Drosophila melanogaster: one gene and its partners. The gene in region 1 interacts genetically with each later gene. Each region holds a gene or a part of one and is shown in the gene's direction. Other genes may lie near its edges.

Region 1 (7,765 bases):
CTGCTAGTTGGATAGTATTATATTTTTTAAATAATTTAAGTTATTTCCAGTAAGTGCTATTTATTAATTATTACCCTCGATATTCTAAGTAAAAAGCTTTTCGATGTTGTCAAATGTATTTCCTAGCTCCCACAAACTTATTAACTCACCAATCCCACTCTATCGATCCAATTTGTATAATGGATCTATCAGATCGATAATTATGTTTTTGCTACTCCAGATGCCTTAATAACTTAATGCGGATCGAAGCAAATAGACGTATATGTGATGTGTTAGCTCATTATCGGGCTCGTTAGCTCAATCAAACGATTCGATCTACTAATTTGAACGGTCCGCATTAACATCGGCATTAGTTAGTTAGTTAGTTGCTAGATGCAGGCTGCAAGGATGACCGGATTGTTGGCAAGTACAAGTGCACATATGTAGATCAATGGCAAATTTGCTTCGATCTCGACATCGCCGCTAACTGAATTTGGTTAAAAGCTAACACGATTGAAAATAATGCTGCCACTGCCACTGCCACTGAAAATGTCATTCGAATTGGCGGCCCGAGTCCAATTTGAGAAGCGGCGGCAGCCTTGCCAACGTTATCAGCTTACAGGACAGGAATATATATATAATTATTTATATAGATTGCTATATGGTCGGTCTCGTAATCCGTCAGCTGCCATATGCAAATCCCAATCGCCAGATGTTTTGACGGGGCTTTCAATTATGCCATAGATATTGTAATGTGCCTGTACTTATCGCCCGGGCTTAGTTTAATGTGCTACATTTACGCATGCAAATTAGTTGTTAAATGTGCTTTTAAAATTTAATCGATATGGCTGGGTGCCACCTACTTACATCTCGGGCACGCACGCAGCCATGTGATCCGTACTTCCTGTTTACCATTACTTTGTTTTCCAGCTCACTTTCACTTGGTCCCTATACGATCCGCTTCAGCATCCGCTCTAGTTCTGACGCGATTCGATTGAGTCATTCAGGATCTAATGCGAATTGCTGGGTTCTAAAACTGAACGAGATCTTCGACTGTTGTTACACCTAGAAAAATGGAACGTATCATAAACGTAAGGTGCTTTTATTGTCTAAAACATTCTTAATAATTTTAACCTACTTCTTTAAAATAATTCTAGTGGTTAAAAACATTTCCCTAAAACAACTTACAGAGTAAGAATGTCATATATTTTCATTATTTTGCTCTGTGCACACACGGCGTATGCTTAACATTTGGCATGGACTAGCTTCGCTTTGTTTGGATTTGTTTTGGTTTTTTCTGTATGACCTGTTGAGGCTTTTCAAATGACTCCCGTTCGACTGACTGAATACTTTTGGGGTATTCTACCACCATTCCGATTGACGCGCACGCGCTAATGGTTAACCCCGCTTTTTAGCCAAGCTACAAGAGCAACAAAAACATGGCCAATGCGACGTTCTAGCCTGTTGCCGCACTTGAACTTGGTCGACCAAGTTGAGTCGAGTCAGGCCCCGCGATTCTCGACCCACTCAGCTGGCTGGCTAGCTGGTTAGCTGGCTGGTGAGAGGAAACCCCACGGCATCGGCATCTTGGCTTTAACCCAGCTACAGCTGGGCAACTACGTCACAGTCGCGTCATGCGAAAACCAGTCATCGTCGTTTGGTGAAGCAAACAATCGTCGGCAATCGGCCGAAACGTTCGTTAACTTGGCCGTCGGAATCGGAATCTGGGGGTATTTAAGCGGCGGCAACTCGACATGAAGCATGCATTGATTCGCTATCATTCGCCCTAAAGACTTGTGCCCAGCCTCAAGTAGTTTGCTGACTCTGTTTGTTGTAATACAATTTAGCTGACAAGGATAATACACATCACCACATCAGTTTCGAGTTCGCGAAAGGATCCAGCTAAAGTTCAACCGATCAACCATCTATATATCCCGCCGTGAATTCGAGAGTCGAGAGTTCTTGTCCAGCTCAATTCTAGACGCAAACAGTTCAGTACCAGGAGCGATTTTCTTGAAAAACAAAACCACCCAGCCAGATCGCCAATAAGCAGTGAAAGTGTCAACACATTTCGAGTGCTTATTGCAAATCAAACAAGAAAAGCGTAACCAAGCACATAAGCAAATAGTATTCTAAGTGTTTTTGCCAACACTTTGCGTAAATTTTTGTTGTTCACCCCAAACGAAAACAACCCAAACACACAAAAAAAAATGATGGCCGTTGCAGCAGCCCAAAAGAACCGCGAGATGTTCGCCATCAAGAAATCCTACAGTATTGAGGTGAGTCGAAAATCCAGCAAAACATACAATTTCCAAATCGAATTGTAAAAAAAAAGAAGCAAATGAGTGACTAGATTTGGTCTACGTGACTATCTAAAGGTTTTGTGTTTTCAAAAAAAAACCAGTTAACCGGCCAGTAGTCGAGCCCATTTTTGTGATCCCGCATTTCTTTTTCGCCAATTCAATTTGACCAAACTCAATCCTCGGTTGGCCATTAAGTCACACCTCTAAGAACAGGCGGCCCAAATCGAAAGGCCCAAATCGCCAACGGACACAACGGGTTGTGTGTTAAGTTATTATTTAACAAATAAGTGAAAGTGGCTGCCTTTGGGCCCCATGCACTTAGCCTGGCCGAAACAGTCGCGCCTCATTGTTGTTGACTCGTCTCTGTTTATGTTTATGCTGCGTCCGAGCAAAACAAAAAATATGAAATCAATATAAATGATTCAATGAGTTGGTCATCTTTCATCAGCCAAAGCGGTGGCCCAAAAAAAAAAACTGAAGAAAACAAACAAACAAAAAAAAAAAAAAACGAGCTGACAGTGAAAACTGCAAGTGATGGAAACCTTTTTCCCCCCATCAAGAAAAAGAAAGAAAAAAAACCTTTAACGATCGCCAGTTGCATTTTTTTCCCGCCAGAATCGCATGGGGATTTTCGATTTCTCAGTCACATATCATTTATCTTCGCACCTGCCCGCTTCGAAGCGGCGACATCGCATTAAATTACCATTCGTGGCTTTGAATCACAATCAATACAGTTCCATGAATAGCCAGCTTTATTCAAAGAAAAAGATCTGAAGACGGCGCTTTCACACACCATTTTATATAATATTTTCAAAATTGCGCAATACTCTGCTCAAAGTCACCACCCAAGCGTGGAGCCGAAGAAAGCCACCCTGGCTTGAAGGTCAAGGCAATCGTCTAATTTCCGCTCCACATCCTGCCAGTGTCACTAACACGGACTTCAATCTTTTCGCTTTCGTTTCCAGAATGGCTATCCATCCCGCCGTCGCAGCCTGGTGGATGATGCCCGTTTCGAGACCCTGGTGGTCAAGCAGACCAAACAAACCGTCCTCGAGGAGGCCCGCAGCAAGGCAAATGGTAAGTGGATAGGGTCCAACAAGTGGGTCACTAAAATAGCTCCAAAGAGGGTTTCTATTTGGGATCAAAAGGGAAATTTTGCAGCTAGGGCTTTACTTGTTGATTAAAAACTTAAAAAGTTGCAATTTTTATTTCATTTTATTCGTTTTGACATAGATTTGCGTTTTTTTCTTATTCATTTTAACCCTTTATTTATTATTTGCCTTCGTTTTTATTTTTATGATTTTAAAGACGATTCCCTGGAAGATTGCATTGTGCAGGCTCAGGAGCACATTCCCTCCGAGCAAGATGTGGAGCTCCAGGACGAGCATGCCAATCTGGAGAACCTGCCCTTGGAGGAATATGTTCCAGGTTAATATCCATTTCCATTTCAATTCCCATGCCAGTTACTCCTCTTTCTGAGCCTATTATCTTTGATTTGATTTTGATTATGATTTTCATGGGCTTTATTATTATTTTTATTTCATTCGCTTTTAGTTGAGGAGGATGTTGAGTTTGAGAGCGTTGAACAGGAGCAGTCGGAGTCGCAGTCGCAGGAGCCAGAAGGCAACCAACAGCCGACCAAGAACGGTGAGCAGGGGGTTCTAGAATCCAGCAGCCAACCATAAGTAGTACTTAACTTCTGAGAGGGGCTTTTGAAAAGCGTGCGACATTGATTTAAGTGCTTAATATGATAAAGTGCCAGGGCAGAGGAAAAGCACTCAGCCACACGGACAATTGTGAGTGGGCGCGCTCGCTCGCTCTCTCTCTCTCTCTCTCTCTCTCTGTGGAAATGTCGCATTTCCCTTTTTCATTTGTTACGCTCGACTTAATACAAGTACGAAATGCGTTTGCCTGGCAACCGTCTCACTGCCACTGCCACGTAGCTCGCTTATCGTTTACGTGACCCTAAGCCTTGGAAGATTGCATCCTTAACCATCACATTATCCCCGCTTTTTTTTGGCCCTTTTGCAGATTACGGTCTCACCGAGGACGAGATTTTGTTGGCCAATGCCGCCTCCGAATCCTCGGATGCCGAGGCTGCCATGCAGAGTGCCGCTTTGGTGGTCCGCCTCAAGGAGGGCATCTCCTCCTTGGGTCGCATCCTCAAGGCCATCGAAACCTTCCACGGCACCGTCCAGCATGTGGAGTCCCGTCAGTCGCGCGTGGAGGGCGTGGACCACGATGTCCTCATCAAGTTGGACATGACCCGTGGCAATCTGCTGCAGCTGATCCGCTCCCTCAGGCAGTCGGGCTCCTTCAGCAGCATGAATCTGATGGCCGACAATAACTTGAATGTCAAGGCTCCGTGGTTCCCCAAGCACGCCTCCGAATTGGATAACTGCAACCATCTGATGACCAAGTACGAGCCCGATTTGGACATGAACCACCCCGGATTCGCCGACAAGGTATACCGCCAGCGTCGCAAGGAAATTGCCGAGATCGCATTCGCCTACAAGTACGGAGACCCGATCCCATTCATCGACTACTCCGATGTGGAGGTCAAGACCTGGCGCTCGGTGTTCAAGACCGTTCAGGATCTGGCTCCCAAGCACGCCTGTGCCGAGTACCGGGCCGCCTTCCAGAAGCTCCAGGATGAGCAGATCTTCGTGGAGACCCGTCTGCCCCAGTTGCAGGAGATGTCCGACTTTCTGCGCAAGAACACCGGATTCTCTCTCCGTCCTGCCGCCGGTCTTTTGACTGCCCGGGACTTCCTTGCCTCCTTGGCCTTCCGCATCTTCCAGAGCACCCAGTATGTGCGCCACGTTAACTCACCATACCACACCCCCGAGCCGTAAGTATCTATCATCATATTTTACTAGGGGGTTAAAATCACTTCAAAAAGGGGAGAAAAAGGCTCTTTGTCCTAGCCTAATTGCATTTGCCTGCCTGCCTGCCGCCTGCCTCTGTGTGTGTGTGGGTGGTTGGGTTTCCTTTTCCGCTTTTCCCAAGCAACTTTTGTCGCCTGGAACACAGGCAAATTGGCTACAGGAACTGCGGCAGGCTGCCCAGCTCATTTAACCAGACTAATTGCCTTATGCCAGCACATTTTCCACACTTTTAACAAGCATTATTCTATGCCATTACAGCGACTCCATTCACGAGCTGCTGGGTCACATGCCCCTGCTGGCCGATCCCAGCTTCGCCCAGTTCTCGCAGGAGATTGGACTGGCCTCGCTGGGTGCCTCCGACGAAGAAATCGAGAAGCTGTCCACGGTGAGTTGATTTTCTAATTGAGTTGCAATGTAACGACCTTAGACTCAAGTGCAGCTATGACGCAGCTAGTTTTTTTTCGCAACCAAGATCATTGTTTAGTCACTGTCAAAGTCGAAGAGGAAAAGTGAACTTCAATGCCAGAATAATTTTTTTCTTTTTATTCATATAGTTTACAGATACAATTTAATGCATTTCAAAACACTTAATTGTGATTTTAAATAAGTTTTTAAGTTCAGAAAACCTTGATCTTATAAGTCATACAACTTCCTGCATTATCTGCCTTTGCTTTTATTTTCCTTCCTATTTACTCATTGGTTCCTTACCATTTCATTTCTACAGGTATACTGGTTCACTGTTGAGTTCGGTCTCTGCAAGGAACATGGTCAGATCAAGGCCTACGGTGCTGGACTCCTGAGCTCCTACGGTGAGCTGCTCCATGCCATCAGCGACAAGTGCGAGCACCGCGCCTTCGAGCCCGCATCCACCGCCGTGCAGCCCTACCAGGATCAGGAGTACCAGCCCATCTACTATGTGGCCGAGAGCTTCGAGGATGCCAAGGACAAGTTCCGTCGCTGGGTGAGCACCATGTCGCGTCCATTCGAGGTGCGTTTCAACCCGCACACCGAGCGCGTCGAGGTGCTGGACTCCGTCGACAAGCTGGAGACTCTGGTGCACCAGATGAACACGGAGATTTTGCATCTGACCAACGCCATCTCCAAGTTGCGACGCCCGTTCTAAGTGGATGGGGGGGAGATATATGTATGATATATAGAAGCACCCAAAAACATCGCCCAAAAAAACACCAGCCACCCCCACCACCCAAACATACACATACAGGTGCAACGGTCTCATTTATACAAATTAATTTTAAATTGACATACCGCACAATCCCTCGTACACGTAATCCTTAAACCAAAATTAAGGCATCGCGCATTATTTTTTATTTTTTGTTTATTGTTTTTTGTTTAATTTTTATTTAATTGTCATCGAAAAGTTGTAATTGTCGAATCGCGCACATGGTAAAAAACACAAAAATCAAGCATATTTATTTGTTGATCACCCGATACACCACCCAACCTGCATATTTATCACCGCAACTATTATTGGACCAAAAAATCTTTAGACGTTTAAGTGATGTGAAAACAAAGCCAAGCCAAGCCAAGCAAAGCAAAGCGAATTAAGTGAAGTGAAAAGCTGGGAAAGCAAAGTTCAGATACATCCGCACTTAGTAGGCAAAGTACCACACAAAAACCGATTGTATACTCAGACAAAAATTGTTTTTGTATTATTATTATCTTCATTTTGCCTCTCACAATATTTACCTAGACTATATAGACACGCGATATAGTATTCCCGGTATAGGAAGCTTCATTTAGAGAGAGTATTTCTAAACAAAAATGATATAGATACAACAATCGAGCAAGGAACAAATGGAAAACAAACAAAAAAAAAAACGGAAAAGATAAAAAATGAAATGGAAAACAAAACAGAATTTTCTTACATTGTACAATAACTGTAAACGACAATATTACTATTGTGTACTATTATTATTATTATCTATTATTATACTTATGACTATTACGTATTGTATTGTAGGTATGTAGAGTTTAAACATTATTATTTTATTTAAGTTTTGTGTATTAATAAAATTAAAAATGCAATTGAAAAATAATTACTCTTTGGTTTTTTCATTTGATTATCTTCTTTGGCAATTCGAAACTCTAAAGTCTGAATCTGTTTAGGGAACATTTTATGACATCAAAATGGAATATTTATTTAAAATTAATGAGTAGAATCGAGGAATATGATAAATATATTTATGGGTGAGAAGAAGTGAATCTCATGTGAACTAAAATCGAGCTATGTAGAAAATATTTCACAAATTTGATGAAATTATATAAAATAACGAAAAACCTTGGACCAATACATATGTATTATTATAAAGTAATTAAAATCAAAATATTTCAAAGTAAACAAAGTAAAACATTGGGATCAAGAATATTACATATTTATAGTTAACGTAGCATGGAATTTTATTGTTATTGTTCGATGTATTGTAGTTGCAATTGGATCGAAAGCCAACCAAGTGTTAACATTTCTGCAAGCAATTAGCCAAACTAATTACTAATTATATTCGCACATAAATCTATATATATAATCAACTTAAAGCGCAGTTGGTCCCCAAGCCAGGCTTCGTTGGTTCTGAAAAA
Region 2 (4,932 bases), on another chromosome or scaffold:
ATGTGGCATAATATGGGAAATGTGATGGATGGAAAGCAAAGATAATCAAAATGGCAAGCCAACAAGTTTGCCGGCAAAAAGAGTTTCAGCTTTAAGTGACGAAGTCTCACACTGAAAGGTGCATTGCACTTTAAGTGCCGAAGTGCTCTTCGTCATTAGGATTTTATGGACACCTTTTTGTGCATAACAGCGATAATTTATTGCACAAGAATCCAGTTTTGTGATTTCCTTCATTGTACATGAGTACAGTGCGATGAAATCACTTATTTCATTTGAATGGTTCTTTACATTTGTACCCAGTTTGTAATATTATATATTTTTATTTAGAATAAGTGACAAATAAGTACCGATAATACTTTAATGTTGCCAAATAGTAGACAATATTGTAAATCACTTAGCTCAACTAAAGACCATCAATAATTAAAAAGATAATTATGATTATAAATCTTAGCTTTCTAATAACCAAACCCCTACAAACTCCTTCTATATATCATTCTGCAAACCTGGTTCATAACAACAAAACGCATTTAAAGTAATATTGTATAATTATAGTTCAATTTGCACATTTAAGCACTCTTTCGCTCTAAGAGCTCCAGTTGGTTAGCTCATGGATATTGGATTCTGCTGGCGCATTACCGCTTGTCATCATCCCATTTCCGAATCATTTCCCCTTAAATTATGGAAATGAATCGAACCAGGTCGGGTTAAACACAGATACGAGTATGTGAGCAGCTTCAAGCGATGGAGGAATGGTCGGAAATGAGCAGGTAATTGCATTTGGCCACCGACTTACCCGATTCTCGATGAGCTTGTCGCACACATTGAAGACCGTCTTGATGGGATTCTTGTCCATGCGGATGGTTTTGTCGTAGTAGGTGACCTTCCGCGGCACATACTGCTGATCGAAGTTGAGGTGCTGCGGTTGGATGGGAAAGCGTGATTATCGCATTCGGATTAGTGGAGCATCCAGTTAGTCAATGGGCTTGCCTTTATTGTGGTGCTAAAGTGCTCCTCGCTGTCGGAATTGCTCAGTACGCCGCCAATGTTGTACGTCGAGGGATTATCCGAGGCAGTGTGCCTCTGGGCGGCATCAATTGGCGCCACCAGGAGAACAATGGCGAGCCCAAACAATGGCCGGCAAAAAACAAACTCAGCCATAGCCATGATGCGGAAGTCTATAGTTTCTGGGGGAGGATAAACGAGGTGTTTTGTGCAACGATTTCAATGGTTTCTCGAGCAAACATCCAGCATTTTCTGCAAGTCGAAAAGGGGAGATGCCGCATATTAATGGCATTTTCCATTTCCCATTGCAGCAATGAGAATGGTCAAAGACAAGATTTCTTAAAGTTTATTTTGCTCATTTTTGAAAAAGCAGAACTTTGAATTCGCGGTGTTTTCTTACATATGTGGTAATGCCAGATCGCGAAAAAATGAATACCAACGCAAGATCGTTAGAGTGACCATTTCATTGTGTTAATAGGCATTAGAAGCAAAATCTAAGTATGTGAGTCGATGAGTGGAAAGATTTTAATCCTCGGCCAATCTATCAACATTGATCTGGAATTTTCAAGCACAGATGACTAAAAAACTATGAATATTTGAATAAGATTCAAATCTCTACCCTGTGCTGCCATGCTAACTAGTATTTAGAGTATGTTAGTATTTTATCCATGCGCTCCCATCTAATTTATCATATGGTTGGTTCTGCGGTTTTCAAACACTTGCTTATGTCATTCCTTGTCAATAGTAAATGCAATTAACGTGTTACTGTCAATAATTCTATATATGTGTGCATAAAACAGTTAAGATGTCAATTACACCATTTATTAACGGCTAACTAGTATTTTTCGCGCGGTCACACTAATCGATCATATGGTTCGACGGTTTTTAAACACTTGTTGCTCGACCGCGCTTTCAGTCGGACGTGTTTTCGCTGGGGTTTTCCGCGTCGGTCCGCCTTATCTGCGCTGCGCTGGCACTTCGTTGGAGTGAGGGAGACGGAGGAGCTGAGCGGTACGGTACACGAAGTCGCGCATGACGCGGCGCTCTGGAAAATTGCATTTTCATACGCCTTGAGCGCGTAATTTATGCCCGAAATGCTGGCCAATTTCAATTTGTTGGCCTAAACGCGACGTGCGTGTGTGGGTGTGTGTGCGTGATTGGGAAAAGTGCGTAGAAATCGACAATCGTTTTGTTTGCCCGCGCTGCTGCTGCGCTGCGACTGCGCTGCTTGTGGGTGGTCAACGGGATCGTGGGGTCGGGAGAGCCGATTGTTGACGTTGTATCGCATGCTGCCTCTCTTTCCCGCAGCCGGAATTGTTTGTCGCGTGTTTTAACGGTTATTTCTTATTGACAAAACCTCCTCTGCCGACGTCGCTGCCCCGGCATTGTTATTGTTATTGTGTGTGGTTTCTGGGCCTTCTTCTTCCTCCTCACCGTATTCCCACTTATTGTTATTCTCTCTTTTCCGCGGCTAAGTGCGGCCCACTCAAGGTGAAAATATATTAAGTTCTTTCGAGTGCCCGCGAGTGTTTGCATTTGAATAAAATAAATATAAAGTCAAATTCGATTTACGATCGTCGTCTATCGACGGATGATTCAATACCAATCACAATACAGTAGCACATCTCTACAAGGGATATTTTACATTACATACATTCTACGGTGAGTATCCCACGACAACGACAACGACAACCTGTTGCCAATCGAGCCCAGTTACTGGTTTTTCTGGTTTCCCGAAGGGCTTGCCACCAATTTAAGTAGGTCATAAGGCAATAAGCCTATCACGACCGAACCGATAGGCTAATTACCGCGATAGCTATTATCTAGCAGTCACGCCCTCGCCTTTTGATCCCACTTGATTTTGATTTCGTTCTTGCCTCTTGCTTTCGCTCAATAATTGACAATAAGCCAAAGCGAAAGGGCCAGAAATGCGCTGAGATTCAATTACGTTGCAGTGGCCACTATTTGTTGCTTACACGAATAGAAAAGCTAAGGAAAAAACATATAAATCCCACTGATTGAAGACATTTGCTTATCGGGGGTATGGTTCTATGCCAGCTACTCAAACAAAATATAAATAAATCCTTAGGGAATCAACTCCGAAGTCAAGTGTTGATTTCAACTCAAGCCACTATGTATATGAACGTGATGCTTTCCAAAATTGTTTTGTGGTGAGAGGGATTGTTTGTTGTTATACAAAAATTCTTCAAATGGGAGTGTTTAAGAATTATAATGACGAAGTAACATAGTCATAATTAAAACTCGTATTTACTCGTAGAGTGAAAGGGTATACCGGATACATATATTATTGATCAGATCGAGATTTCGGGATCTATAAAATCTAGATGTGCAAGTTTAATTCACAACGTCCGCGCCCACTCTAACGCCCACAAACCGTTCAAAACAGTCACGCCCACAGTTTCGAGAAAAGTTTGGATTTTTTTAATCCTAATATTTCTTTGTCAGTTCCTAAAGTTATGCAAATCACTTTTGGAAATTTCTCACTTGACGTCCTCTGAACTGAATGCATCTGCGTTCGAGAAAATCAACTTAGCGCCGATATTTTCTCTCAGTGCACACATCTTGATTGCAGACAGCGGAAAAGAGAGAGAGAGCGAAAGGGAGAGAGAGAAAGAGAGATGCTGACTGGGCGACGCGTGCTTAATTAAGCGCCACATTGTTGTTGGTGTTGACTGGGCAGGTGGCGAGCTATAGAGTAAGAGGCAAGATGAGGGATACCAAAAAAGATGGGGGAGGGGGATGAAAAGTGGACGTGTTGAGCCTGCTGCACGCGATGATTTCCATTACCTGGGGTAAAAAAATGGCTTTTCATCGCCAAATTCCTCTCTGGCCAAGTTTTTTTGTTGCGATTGAAAGAGCGCACTTCACTACTTCTTGATTTGCATGTAATCATGATTGGGTTAATGGGCCTATGATCACACAATTACGATCAATTATATTCACATTATAATGTCGAACAAATTACTAAATTATACAATCAATGGGACCAATAGATAGTATGTGCAGTGAGTTTCATTTATTGAAGATAACCAGTCAATTGAGATGTCATTTGCGGGTACTTTGATCAACCGGCTAGAAAATGTACATATATATTCTAATTTTTAAACGCTAGTTCGGTATAGTATTAAAATTTTTTTGATTATTATGTTTTTGTGCAATTATATATGTATATTTAAAAAAAAAAGTTGGAACTTGACAACTATTTTCTCTTTAACCACGATTCAGATGTCATCAATTTTAATATAAAGAGTTAAAAAATTCACAATTTGTTTTTGTTATTCTCTCAGAATCCCTCAACTGTAGTTGATAATTCTCCAAAAGTTGTCGTATAATTGCATTTGACATACTGATAACGTTTGTGCATGATTTTTAATCAATAAATTTTACCAACCAGCCAAATTTGTTCAGTTTTGCCACTTGTCACCATTTAAACAAACTGACCACAAAGATATTACATTAAATAAATAAAACACATTGAAGATTCTCAGGTATGCTTATTTTTTTGACCACAATCGTGTGTTTGCTCCAATTTATGTGGGCTTGCCATGAGCATGTGCATAATTCGAAGCTGAATTGAGCAGCTGGTGGGGATTTTGTGGAAGGGGGGGCGGTAAAGTGGCCGGGGTTGGCGCCTGGGAGCGCCAGCAATTAACATAAACAGGCAAATTGTGTAAGCGACATTCTGGAGCTGCAAATAAAATATAAGCGCCCGCCCCCCGCCCATCCGATGTGCACAGCCCACTTGGCTGCAATTATTAAGGGTGTGTGTGTGTTTGTTCGGATGCGGAGGTCGGGTGTTATCAATGAAGCAGACTGGATGAGAAGCAAAGTGTTCTCATCAGCGCCAGTCTGGTGTGATTGTGTGAGTATCTGTGTGCTTCACGTTTTTTCTGCTCAGGTGGGCCGAGG
Region 3 (7,743 bases), on another chromosome or scaffold:
TAAACCAGATATTGATATTCAGCCCGCAGATCTTTAAATGCTCGTCAAATTGCCTCATTGTCGGCGCTTTCGGAGACGCACCAGATGCTGCAGAAGTCCTGCCGGGACTTTGCCAACAATGAGCTCAGTGGAAACGCAGCCAAGTTCGATCGGGAGCACCTGTATCCAGAGAAACAGATCCGCCAGATGGGCGAACTGGGCGTGATGGCAGTAGCGATTCCCGAGGAGCTGGGTAATTAATATTACGCCCACCTCAGCCCTCCTTATAGTATCTCATTGTATCTCTTTATTGTTAATCAGGCGGCACTGGACTGGATTATGTGGCCTACGCCATTGCCATGGAGGAAATCTCAAGGGGCTGTGCCTCTGCTGGCGTCATCATGTCGGTGAACAACTCCCTGTATCTGGGACCGCTTCTCTCTTTCGGAAACGATGCCCAGAAGAAGGACTACATCACACCGTTTACCACCGGCGAACGAGTGGGCTGCTTCGCGCTCTCTGAACCTGGAAACGGATCCGATGCTGGAGCTGCTTCCACCATAGCAACCGACAAGGGAGATCACTTCGTGCTGAATGGCACCAAGGCCTGGATCACAAATGCCTTCGAGGCGGAGGCAGCCATTGTGTTCGCCACCACCAACAAGCAGCTGAAGCACAAGGGCATCTCCGCATTCATTGTGCCCAAGGCTACCAAGGGCTTCTCGCTGGGCAAAAAGGAGGATAAGCTGGGCATCCGGGGATCTTCGACGTGCCAGCTAATTTTCGAGGACTGCGTGGTGCCCAAGGAGAACATGCTGGGCGAGCCGGGTTTCGGTTTCAAGATTGCCATGCAGACGCTGGACGCCGGCCGCATAGGAATCGCTGGCCAGGCGCTGGGCATTGGTCAGGCTGCCCTCGAATTGGCCGTGGACTACGCCCAGAAGCGACAGGCCTTCGGCAAGCCCATTGCCAAGCTCCAGTCCATCCAGCAAAAGATCGCGGACATGTCGTTGGCCATGGAGTCGGCACGTCTGCTCACCTGGCGCGCCGCCTGGCTGAAGGACCAAAAGCAGCCCTACACCAAAGAAGCTGCAATGGCCAAGCTGGCTGCCTCGGAGGCGGCCACCTTGTGCTCCCACCAGTGTATCCAGATCCTGGGCGGAATGGGCTACGTGACCGACATGGCGGCCGAGCGTCATTACAGGGACGCCCGCATCACTGAGATCTACGAGGGCACCTCCGAAATCCAGCGACTGGTGATCGCGGGCTCCATTCTAAAGGAATATGCTAGTTAAGATCAAAGTTATATATCCGTACTACTTGTGTCTCGTTTAATAAAGAACGTTTTTAATATACTATTTTGCTAGTTCTATTGAGTTGTATAATTGTTTATAATAGATAGAAATACATGAAAAAAACACCTACAACATTTTAATTCTTTAGAAAAAGTTAGCAAAACAATAAATCTTCGTTCAAAAAGTAAAGTAAAATAAGTGAAACTCTTGACTACTTTTTAGACGTTGCATATTTGTAAATTAATTAAAATAATGAACCTTAAGTGCTTTTAAAATATATTTATAAACAAAGCTTATTATTTTATATGCCTAATTATATTATATCTTTTAAACCAAATTTTAAATGACTCAAAAAAATGGGAACTTGGCGCCAAAACTGCAGCAAGGCTTTGTCGGTTAGCATATTTGTGTGGTATTTTTGTGACTTCATTCGGTATATTGCTGGTAGCTGTGCAGCGGTCACACAGCAAAAGCAAAAAGTTTCTTTATTTATTTGATAATTATTCGTTACGCGGTAATTAACGCGATGCAAGTGCAGCAGGAACGTGGTAATGAGAGTTTTTGCCACTGAGCTGCGCGTGTCGGCCGTCCAGAAAGTGCAGAAATCGCGTGAAGTGCGCGAAATCCGTCCAAGAGCAGAAAAGTGCCAAGAATAGCTGCGATGGAAACAGCGATGGATGTGGTGTGTGTAATGGATACGGCGGTGGGCGACCATCTGGAGGACCGCCAGTGTGCGCTGGAGGAGATCAAGCAGGCAGTGCAGTCGGCGGGCGCCAACTTTCAGCGGGTTCAGGTGCGCCAGCTTGGTTATACAATGGCATATGGGTGATTTGACTTACATCCCCCCCACTTGGCATCCTTGCAGTTCGAGCGCCTGGACTTCGGCGAGACGAATGTGCTGGAGACGTTTTACAACGCCGATGTGGCCATTATCGACCTGAGCATTCTCACCCAGCAGCGGCCGCTTTCCTATCACTACGGCGTTAGGGAGAGCTTCGGGATGAAGGAGAACATCCTCACCTACAACGACATCGATTCCAAGCAGACGCTCAGTCTCAAGGTGCGTTCGGAAGTGTTTACCTGGCCGGGCGTGCCTGGCAAACATCTGCGTTCGTGATCGGGAATCCGCTTCCGATAAGATAAATGCTATGACCAGCAACTGCGTGGACTCCTGGACTAGTTGTTCTTGCTGATCTTTCTACAGTCGAGCTTCCACAACGCGAACTGAGTTTATAACAAGTCTCTAACCTAGGTGCTTAGACACCTCTTTCTGGAAAATGACTAAAAATTATTCTATCTACTAGTCTTCCTTTAGCAAATTGCAAAAGAAACCGAAAAACTTCCTCTTTCCAGAGGTTAATAACTAAAACCTCTTTCCCATATGGCAGCCAATAATTTGAACTATGGAAGTTCGACTGTATTTCCGTCGAATCGTTTTCGTTATTTTTGTTTTGGCTGCGGCCATAAAGCAACAAAAGCATTGGCCCAGCAATAACAATAACAAATGCGAGCACGCCCACGCAAACACTCAAAGAGGCACGCACACACTAACAGCACGGTGTACACCAACGCAGCGTGGCCTGCATTCACAGTGGCGGTCATTAAATTAGGTACACTCTACTCCCCTTGCAGCTCTCGTGTGCCAACTACCTGTTTCTCAGCTACAAGCGGAATGCGGAGACCAATTCCTGCCACCTGACCAGCCAGCCCAACAGCGGCAACAACAGCAAGGAACCCAATGCCGAAGGACGAGTGCCCACTTTGCAGTGGCGCCTCAAGCGAAAGCTGCAAGATGTTGAGATCCAGTCGAAGTGAGTACAATCTAGGGAGTCCCCTTTTGCAGTAAGTCATGCACGGTGATTGCATATCGGAACACTATTTATAACATCCCCTGCGGCAGATTGGCTGCAAAAGTCACGCCCTGCATCTAAAATGAATCAGACCGATTTATTGTGTTGGCCTTGGAATTGCATATAAAATATCAATAATCGCTGAAAATTCTTAAGTCTCTTTATAGTATCATAATTGTCCTTTCAATTTAAATTACTTCGAACTTTAGTGATACTACTACGGGTTAACAAGTAATGAAATGAAAGTAATTGAAATCTTAAATTTGGTGTACCAGATAGATGCTAAGTTAATTAGTCTTTCAGCCAGAGCACGAAACACTGTTCCTATTATGCATTATTTGTGTACCTAAAAACTAAACGAAGCTATTTTCGGTTATTTACAGAGCCCACATGCGTGAGAAATTTCTGAGTGACATGCGAACGGCGCGGGACACGTACGCCACCAACGGCGCCAAGCTGCAGAGTATATTGCACGAGATGCGAAAGCGGCTGGACGATCCGCATGTCCTGTCTGGCGAAGTGGTACACAGTTTCATGTGCTCGCTGAGGGATGTGCAGGACTACGATGCCATGGTGCGACTGGTCAATGACCTGAAGAACATACCCAACACCCGGAAGTACGTGGAGACGGGCAACATGAGTTTCCTGTACGCCTTCGCCCTGAACCGAAGAAATCGAAAGGGAGACCGTGAAAAGGCTCTGGAATCTTCGCTGAAGGCGCTGGAAAAGAAGGAGAACCACTTTCCGGACATGCTCTGCCTGTGCGGCCGCATCTACAAGGACATCTTTGTGGAATCCGACTACACGGACGCCACCAGTTTGGCGCACGCCATCAAGTGGTACCGCCAAAGCTTTGAGGTGCAGCCGAATGAGTATGCAGGCATCAATCTGGCTACTCTGCTGGTTATCGAGGGCAAGGAGTTTACCAATACGGAGGAGTTGCAGCACATCGGCATGACCTTAAACAATTTAATCGGTAAAAAGGGCAGCCTATCCTCGCTGAGTGAGTATTGGGATGTGGCCACCTTCTTTGAGATCTCCGTTTTGGCCAACGACTACGCCAAGGCGATTCAAGCTGCCGAGTGCATGTTCAAGCTAAAGCCACCCAACTGGTATCTGAAGTCGACCATCGGAAATATCTCTCTTATACATCGATTTCGAAAGAAGCCCGAGGAACGCCAGCCGCCCATCGAGGAGCAGGTGTTCCAGTTCTGGATGGACTTCTTTCTGGAGGCCACCAACACCGAGGAGGTTAAGAACAGCATTCGCTTTCCGATTCTGGTTGGTACCCCTGATCTGCAGTTTAAGCTTTATTATTAACTCAAAACAAATTCCAGATCCTCGAGCCTCAGAAGATTTATATGCCCAGTTATGTGACTATAAACATGGATGCGGATGAGAAGTCCATTCAGATTGTGAACATCTGTTTGGCTCACGCAAAGAATGCGTGTAAGAAAATCCACGACTTCCTTTTCGTGGCATCGAAGATCAAGTCCGTCAGCCTTTACAAGAGGGATGATCGTTGTGCCTACTTGTACGTCCATCACAACTCAGATGATTTTCAAATATATTTTCCCTCCACTGAACGACGACAAAAGTTCTACGATATGATCCTGGAGATGACTGCAGATCAGGTGGTGTTTGTCAATCTCAGCAATGATGACGCTAATATCGAGGTAAGTTATTTATTATTCATATATACATATATTCCGGCCACTTTTGCTAATTATTATTAATTGTAGTACGAGTACGACTACGATGAGCAGAATCGCAAAATGGTGCTGGGCAAAGGTACTTATGGCACCGTGTACGCCGCCAGGGACAAGCAGACGCAGGTGCGAATCGCCATTAAGGAGGTGCCGGAAAAGAACTCGCAGGATGTGCAGCCACTGCACGAGGAGATTAAGTTACACTCTCAGCTGCGACATCGCAACATAGTTCGCTATTTGGGATCGTGCTCGGAGAACGGCTTCTTCAAGATCTTCATGGAGCAGGTGCCGGGAGGATCGCTTTCCGACCTCTTAGAGACCAAATGGGGTCCGCTCAAGGACAACGAGTCCACCATGGCCTTCTACTCCAAGCAGATCCTCGAGGGGCTGAAGTACCTTCACGAGCAGGACATTGTTCATCGCGATATAAAGGGTGACAACGTGCTGGTTAACACGTATAGCGGCGTGGTTAAGATCTCCGATTTCGGCACCTCCAAGCGGCTGGCCCGCATCAACCCGATGACGGAGACCTTTACGGGCACCTTGCAGTACATGGCGCCGGAGGTGATTGACCAGGGAGTACGCGGCTATGGCCCGGCGGCTGACATCTGGTCCTTTGGATGCACAAACGTTGAGATGGCTACGGGCAAACCACCGTTTATCGAGCTGGGTAGCGCCCATGCGGCCATGTTCAAGGTGGGCTTTTACAAGAAGCATCCGAACATACCCGAGGAGCTGTCCGCCAACGCAAAGAACTTTATTTTGCGTTGCTTTGCCATCAGCGTGATGGACCGACCCTCCGCCTCGCAACTTCTGGAAGATCCCTTCCTACAAGAGTGAGTTTGCTTAATTGTTTTGCCTAATTCCTTTCTAATTGCACTTTTAATTTTCTCAATAAGTAAACCCCGCAAGGTGCGCCCAGCCCTGCCCATCAATACTGAGTTCGGACGCAGCATTTCGGTGCCGGCTGATCGGTTTGTGCACAAAACCACACCGCCGCTGAGCTACAACACAACCTGCAATACGCCCACAACGCCGGAATTGGAGTAAGTTAAACGCTGCGACTATTCTTATCATGTTCGACCTTCCTCAATTACAAGCAGAGGTTATCTTATCTGTTGAAAATTATCATTTATATTTTGCTAATTTTAATGAATATAAAAATTTTTCCGTGCTTCTCTATATTTTCCCATATCGTCTACTATTATAAGAGTAACAAGTGCCTTTGCTTATCGTGTAGTTAACACATTGATTGTTGCTATCAGTAAAGTGCATATTTAATGATTGGAAAATGCGCACTCGGATTTTGATACTGAGAAGAGATAGCACTTGATGTATTGTAAAATAAACGTAATTTTATATTGTACTTTCTGTTTCCTATTTCAGCATAACGCATTCATCCTCGGTGGACATTGACGAGCTGCCCAGCAACCAGTTTATGCTTGAACGGCGAAATTCCCATGGATTTTTGCTCTCGCCAGAGATTGAACCTTCCACGCCGTCCTTGCGTACGAGCATTAGTGAGACGAGCGAGACTGACGGTTTTTACAGGCTTAAAAAGGATTCGCAGAGGCGGACAACGCTTTCCAAGGTGCTGGCACTAGACGAATCCAAGATCTGCGATATTTGGCTGAAGAAGGTCGACGCTGATCAGAACTCGATTGCGATTAGGAAAAGCGATTTGGAGGTTCTAATCCGAGGACTGCGGGACTACATTATGAACGAAAACGAAAAGCATTTGGAAGCGACTATCAACGAACTGAAACAAAAGCTGAACAACGACGCAGTTGCTCTGGACCATCTTCATTTGGCGCTGTACTCCTTTCAGGACGCCGTGGTCTGCGTACTGCGGTACCATTGCATCAAACCCCATTGGATGTTCGCATTGGATAATCTGGTTAAGCGGGCCGTCCAGGCGGCGGTCACTATTTTCTCTCCTGAACTGGGCGCCAATCTGGCGGACAAAGACCTGTCTGGAAATGATGATGAGAGCTTGCGTACAAGTCTAATGCAGAAGGGTTCCACCGAGAGCCAGGAAAAGCAGAGCCTGGAAAAAGTTCTTCCCACGAGCAACACTCGCGAAGGTGTGGGATTAACGCCTGCGGAATCGGGCGGGGATGCTCTGTCCAGTTCGATGGAGTGCGCGCGCATCCTGAGAGACATCCGTGACAATCAGCAGAAGCTGCAACGCCAGCTCCTTGAGCAGCAGCGGCAGAGCATGAGGGCCCTGCATAATATCAGTCAGGAGCTGGCTCACATTTACATGGGCGGCAGAAAGAGATTAAGGTTGGTAAACCAAGTAGGACATTGTAAATTTTATTATAATTCACAATTTCATCTTAACAGACGCACAATAAACGGCTTTAACAAAAAGTGCCATAGAATGAGTACCAGTGTGGGCGGAACGTCCGGAGTCCGTCCGAATATAGCGGGCAATCCCCGGAGGCAGCTAAACAAGCATCACTTTGGTCTTCACGAAGTAGACGAGCAGTTGGAGCAGTGGTTGACCCAGCAGGAAATAGACGAGTTCTCAAAGACGCTCATCCTGAATGAAGGTTTTACATTTGACGACTTTATCTATAACATGGAAAAGCTGGACCTCATGAGGCTGGGTCTGCGGTGCGTTAAAGCTTATAAGAAAAGTACACTTAATCCATGCTCAACTAACTTTTGGTATTTTGCAGCGTTGGCATCGAAGTGCGTTTGTGGAAACTCATTATACAAGAACGTGTGTGCACCTCGTCCGATTGTGTGGACAGTCCACCAAGCACTTACCACAAACCCATTGGAGGCAATAGCTCTTTTGCGCTTATTGACAACAACAATACGCTACCATCACCCACAACCACAACTCCCGGAACGCCGGGCATCAAAACGAAAATCAAGAAAAGCGAAAGCGAGTACGATTCG
Region 4 (3,737 bases), 950 kb from region 1:
AAGAAAACATTCCAATTCCCTTTGACTAATCTTAATCAAATATCATAGTATACTATAGATAACGCAAAATAACAATAACTGATCGGCATTATCATTGCGATTGTGGACAACTTTAAAGACCGAACATTTCAAGTATCTAAACTTGTTCAGTTCACGAAATCGACACTGTTGATCTCTGCAGACGTTGAGCTGTGCTGAGCCACGAGTTAAGGCAGCAGACAATCCGTTGCCTGCAGATTACAATTCCGACATATCTATAAACTGGAGATGTGGACAAATTTAAAGACCGAACACTTCTATGGAATGAACTTGTTCAGTTCACGAAATTGACACAGTTTCTATCCGCAGGTGTTGAGCTGATCTGTGTCAGAGTTTGAGCGCAGTCAATCCGTTGCCTGCAGAAGAAATAACCTTGTGGACAACTGACAAGAAGCCTCCAGTCCTGAATAATAGGCCAGGGCAATTACCAGCTGCCACAGCTGATCTTTGCAAGTGTTGAGATGTTCAGTCGCTGGAGAATCGCGGCAGACAATCCGTTTCTTGCAGGGATTAACGGAGGATTACCTAGAAGTAAGGGAGGACTCACATTGGCGCCGGACTTGAGCAGACGTAAGGCAGCCTGGACAGCCCAGTAGGCGGCGAGGATGACATCGGCCTGGCGACCACTGATCTTCTGATCCGCAGCAGCGCCTACCACAATTGTGTGAGCGGCCACGGCAATGAAACCATCAATGTGGGCACCCAGATCGCTGTAGAAAAGAAATGTTACGTATTTAGTGGCGGTATATGTGGAATAGGAGGTTCAACTTACATTTTGACCACATCACCGGCCTTTAACGTGTAGTCAGCATCGTTTTTGGCTGGCGAGAAGTGGCAGACACAGTTGTTGACGGACAGACAGGTGGGAAAGGCAATGCCCTTCTTCAGGTCTTTCTCCTTTTTGTATACCTGTTTGTGAAAGATCGATAAAAGCATTAGATTGCTTGTTCGTTGTACTATATATCAATGATAGTGCGCGGTGTGTCCTCAGATCTCATAATCTGTAAATCCTCGGGACCTTTTGGAGAGCACACAAGCCGGGCACGTGGAGCATTGGAGTCCCCGCGTGCGCCTGGCGACCACGAGGTGATCCCCAGCCCGCACAGCACATGGCTCGCCATCGGGAAACCCTCAAAGGTGTAAGTCTTAATCATTGGACATGAAATTGGCGCGAATGACCGCCAGGTGGCCACCACTTACTTTGCCGGTCTCCTCGGTGAGCTGATTGTCGCCCTGGGTGCAGATCTCCCGGACGGAGGCATCAACCACGCAGAGTCCAATTACCGCCTTGAGGGTTTCTAAAATTAAACGAGCAGACAGAGTCCAGAAATAGGCAGATTAACCAACGCGTGGCGCACAAGGGAAAGCGGCATTCGGTGCATTGTGTAAGCGCCACGTAGCAGCGACTCCAGGAATCGGCCAGCGTTCGCTGTTTCCGGCCAAGGAATACTCACTGTTGACGATTTCGCCGGCCAACTTATACTTGGTCACCACCAAATCCTCGGCGATGGTCTTCTCGGGCTCCTTTTCCACATCTGCCATTGTACTTGACTCTAATAATTTTAAAATGGCGACTTAATGAAAATGCGACCGACTGAAACACCACGAGGTAATGAACGTGTGGCCAGGCGCAGCGCAGGTATCGAAAGTTCCAGTGGCGTGTATGGTGGGACCGCTCATTCGCCTTGACAACCCTGGCAAATGGGCGGTAAGCTTAAGATGAGCGTGAAAGCGTAGATTGCTAGTCGTAAACACTGAATGAATTTTAAATAACACTTTGAGCTATATCAAATGAGAATATTTCATAGTTTTACATATTGTAATCCACTAATATTTCAATAAAAGTTTAAATATTAAGTTTCGGTTTTTTTCTATTACACATAAATGGTCCCTCTAAAAATAGGAAGTCAAAGAGCTCGAAATATCGATACCATCACAGTGTGACCGCTTGTGGAATACCGCATTCGGTATTTTTCTTAGCACGAATTTGGACTAAATGCATATTACAAGTCATCTTTAACAAAAAAAATTTGCATTGAACGTTAATAATAACATTTACTTGCTTAAATCCAATTCGGCTGCCGAAACAAAAGCTCAATTAATAGAAACCTAATCCTATCACCATGTCCGTGCGCGTGATCAACGACGAGTCCCACTTCCAGGCGGAGTTGGCCCAAGCGGGCATTCAATTGGTTGTGGTGGACTTCACAGCTTCGTGGTGTGGTCCCTGCAAGCGGATTGCGCCCATCTTCGAGACGTTTCCAACAAAGTACCCAAAGGCCATCTTCCTGAAAGTGGATGTGGACAAGTGCCAGGACACGGCTGCTGGACAGGGCGTTTCGGCCATGCCAACATTCATCTTCTACAGGAACAGGACCAAGATCGATCGCGTCCAGGGTGCGGACGTCAATGGGCTCGAGGCCAAGATCCAGGAGCACATCGGTACATCCGGTGGCGAGGAGGGGGGCGAGGATTACGGGCAGGGATTGGTAATATAGTGCAGTATTTGGAAATGTTCCAAAAATAATCCCTAATCCTTCTTACAGATGGAACTGAATACATTTATTTCGAAGCAGGAGTGCGAGTGCCTCAACGAAGCTGATGACCACAACTTAAAGCACGCCCTGGCCTCCGCCGGTGGCTACCTGCAGTCCGATTGCGATGAGCAGCTCATCCTGTCCATCACCTTTAATCAGGCTGTGAAGATCCACTCTTTGAAGTTCAAGGCACCTTCGCACCTGGGTCCCAAGGATGTGAAGCTGTTCATTAACCAGCCCCGCACGATTGACTTTGACATGGCCGAGTCCATGAACAGTGTGCAGGATCTAAGGTAGCTATTGCCTTCTCTATGGCTGCTTAGCTCTTCTCACTGTTCAATCCATTTTGCAGCCTGGCTCAGAAGGAGCTGGAGAGTGGAGTGCCCGTGAATCTGCGCTACGTCAAGTTCCAGAATGTGCAAAACATCCAAATCTTCGTGAAGAACAATCAGTCAGGTGGCGATGTGACGCAGATTGATTATATCGGCTTCATCGGTTCCCCCATCATGACCACCAAGATGAACGACTTCAAGCGAGTGGCTGGCAAGAAGGGCGAGAGCCACTAAGGTTCCATTGAAATTTTCAGCGTTTTTCCCCAATGACGTCCCAGCATTTCTTTTCAACTTTGGACTTACAACTAAACAATATACAACAAATGCATAAAAAATCATACAAAATAAGGATCAACAAGATAATCTAAATATCCATCGGGTTAAAGGCTGCTCTGGTAAGAGTCCAGTTCCTTGGTAAGCATTTTCCACGCACGCTCCGCCTGTTTCTGGGTGAATTCGTGATCCCATTGCGAACTGAATATCACATGCGACTTGGCCACGATCTCAGAATTGGGCACCTGACTGGCCAGTCGCTTTTGGGCCTCCACTTCGCTCAACTTGTTGCGCTCAATAATCCGCCGCACAGCCTCATCCGGTGGCACAATCATGGACCACACCTCATGGCAATTGGTCTCCCAGCCCGCTCGCAGCAGCACCGCTGCCTCCAGGACCACCACACGCGGCACGTCCGCCTGGGAACGCAGTGCATCCAGCCGCCTGTTAACCTCCGCAATAAGTTCCGGCCAGACAATGCCGTTGAGTGCTTGCAACTGCTTGGGATCGGCAAACACCAAGGGTCCCAGCTTGGACCGATCGATGCGACCATCGT

Evidence for each region.
Region 2: of ple (region 1) and Itpr, changing one suppresses a phenotype caused by changing the other (phenotypic suppression), as found in Drosophila melanogaster (one study listed by BioGRID).
Region 3: of ple (region 1) and Ask1, changing one suppresses a phenotype caused by changing the other (phenotypic suppression), as found in Drosophila melanogaster (one study listed by BioGRID).
Region 4: of ple (region 1) and Txl, changing one suppresses a phenotype caused by changing the other (phenotypic suppression), as found in Drosophila melanogaster (one study listed by BioGRID).

What each region holds. Positions count from the first base shown.
Region 1 is NT_037436.4:6,713,498-6,721,262, reverse strand, and holds the start of ple (pale), read left to right. Parts: upstream 1-1,737; 5' UTR 1,738-2,189; coding exon 2,190-2,258; intron 2,259-3,247; coding exon 3,248-3,359; intron 3,360-3,590; coding exon 3,591-3,710; intron 3,711-3,836; coding exon 3,837-3,929; intron 3,930-4,313; coding exon 4,314-5,133; intron 5,134-5,428; coding exon 5,429-5,555; intron 5,556-5,894; coding exon 5,895-6,293; 3' UTR 6,294-7,765. UniProt on the Drosophila melanogaster protein: Plays an important role in the physiology of adrenergic neurons.
Region 2 is NT_033777.3:5,515,225-5,520,156, forward strand, and holds the start of Itpr (inositol 1,4,5,-trisphosphate receptor), read left to right. Parts: upstream 1-1,892; 5' UTR 1,893-2,664; intron 2,665-4,932. Other genes in the region: Nmdar1 (NMDA receptor 1), read right to left, coding at 794-916, 988-1,164. UniProt on the Drosophila melanogaster protein: Receptor for inositol 1,4,5-trisphosphate, a second messenger that mediates the release of intracellular calcium. Together with MCU, has a role in oxidative stress-induced ER-mitochondria calcium transfer.
Region 3 is NT_033777.3:19,877,977-19,885,719, forward strand, and holds the start of Ask1 (apoptotic signal-regulating kinase 1), read left to right. Parts: upstream 1-1,742; 5' UTR 1,743-1,947; coding exon 1,948-2,067; intron 2,068-2,139; coding exon 2,140-2,334; exon of another isoform or gene 2,335-2,906; coding exon 2,907-3,085; intron 3,086-3,507; coding exon 3,508-4,405; intron 4,406-4,461; coding exon 4,462-4,800; intron 4,801-4,866; coding exon 4,867-5,669; intron 5,670-5,732; coding exon 5,733-5,879; intron 5,880-6,219; coding exon 6,220-7,119; intron 7,120-7,179; coding exon 7,180-7,452; intron 7,453-7,517; coding exon 7,518-7,743. Other genes in the region: Arc42 (Activator-recruited cofactor subunit 42), read left to right, coding at 23-232, 301-1,274.
Region 4 is NT_037436.4:5,763,848-5,767,584, forward strand, and holds Txl (Thioredoxin-like), read left to right. Parts: upstream 1-1,998; 5' UTR 1,999-2,162; coding exon 2,163-2,528; intron 2,529-2,585; coding exon 2,586-2,869; intron 2,870-2,928; coding exon 2,929-3,142; 3' UTR 3,143-3,237; downstream 3,238-3,737. Other genes in the region: CG10576 (uncharacterized protein), read right to left, coding at 587-749, 812-948, 1,240-1,337, 1,494-1,581; Ppat-Dpck (bifunctional phosphopantetheine adenylyltransferase - Dephospho-CoA kinase), read right to left, coding at 3,289-3,737.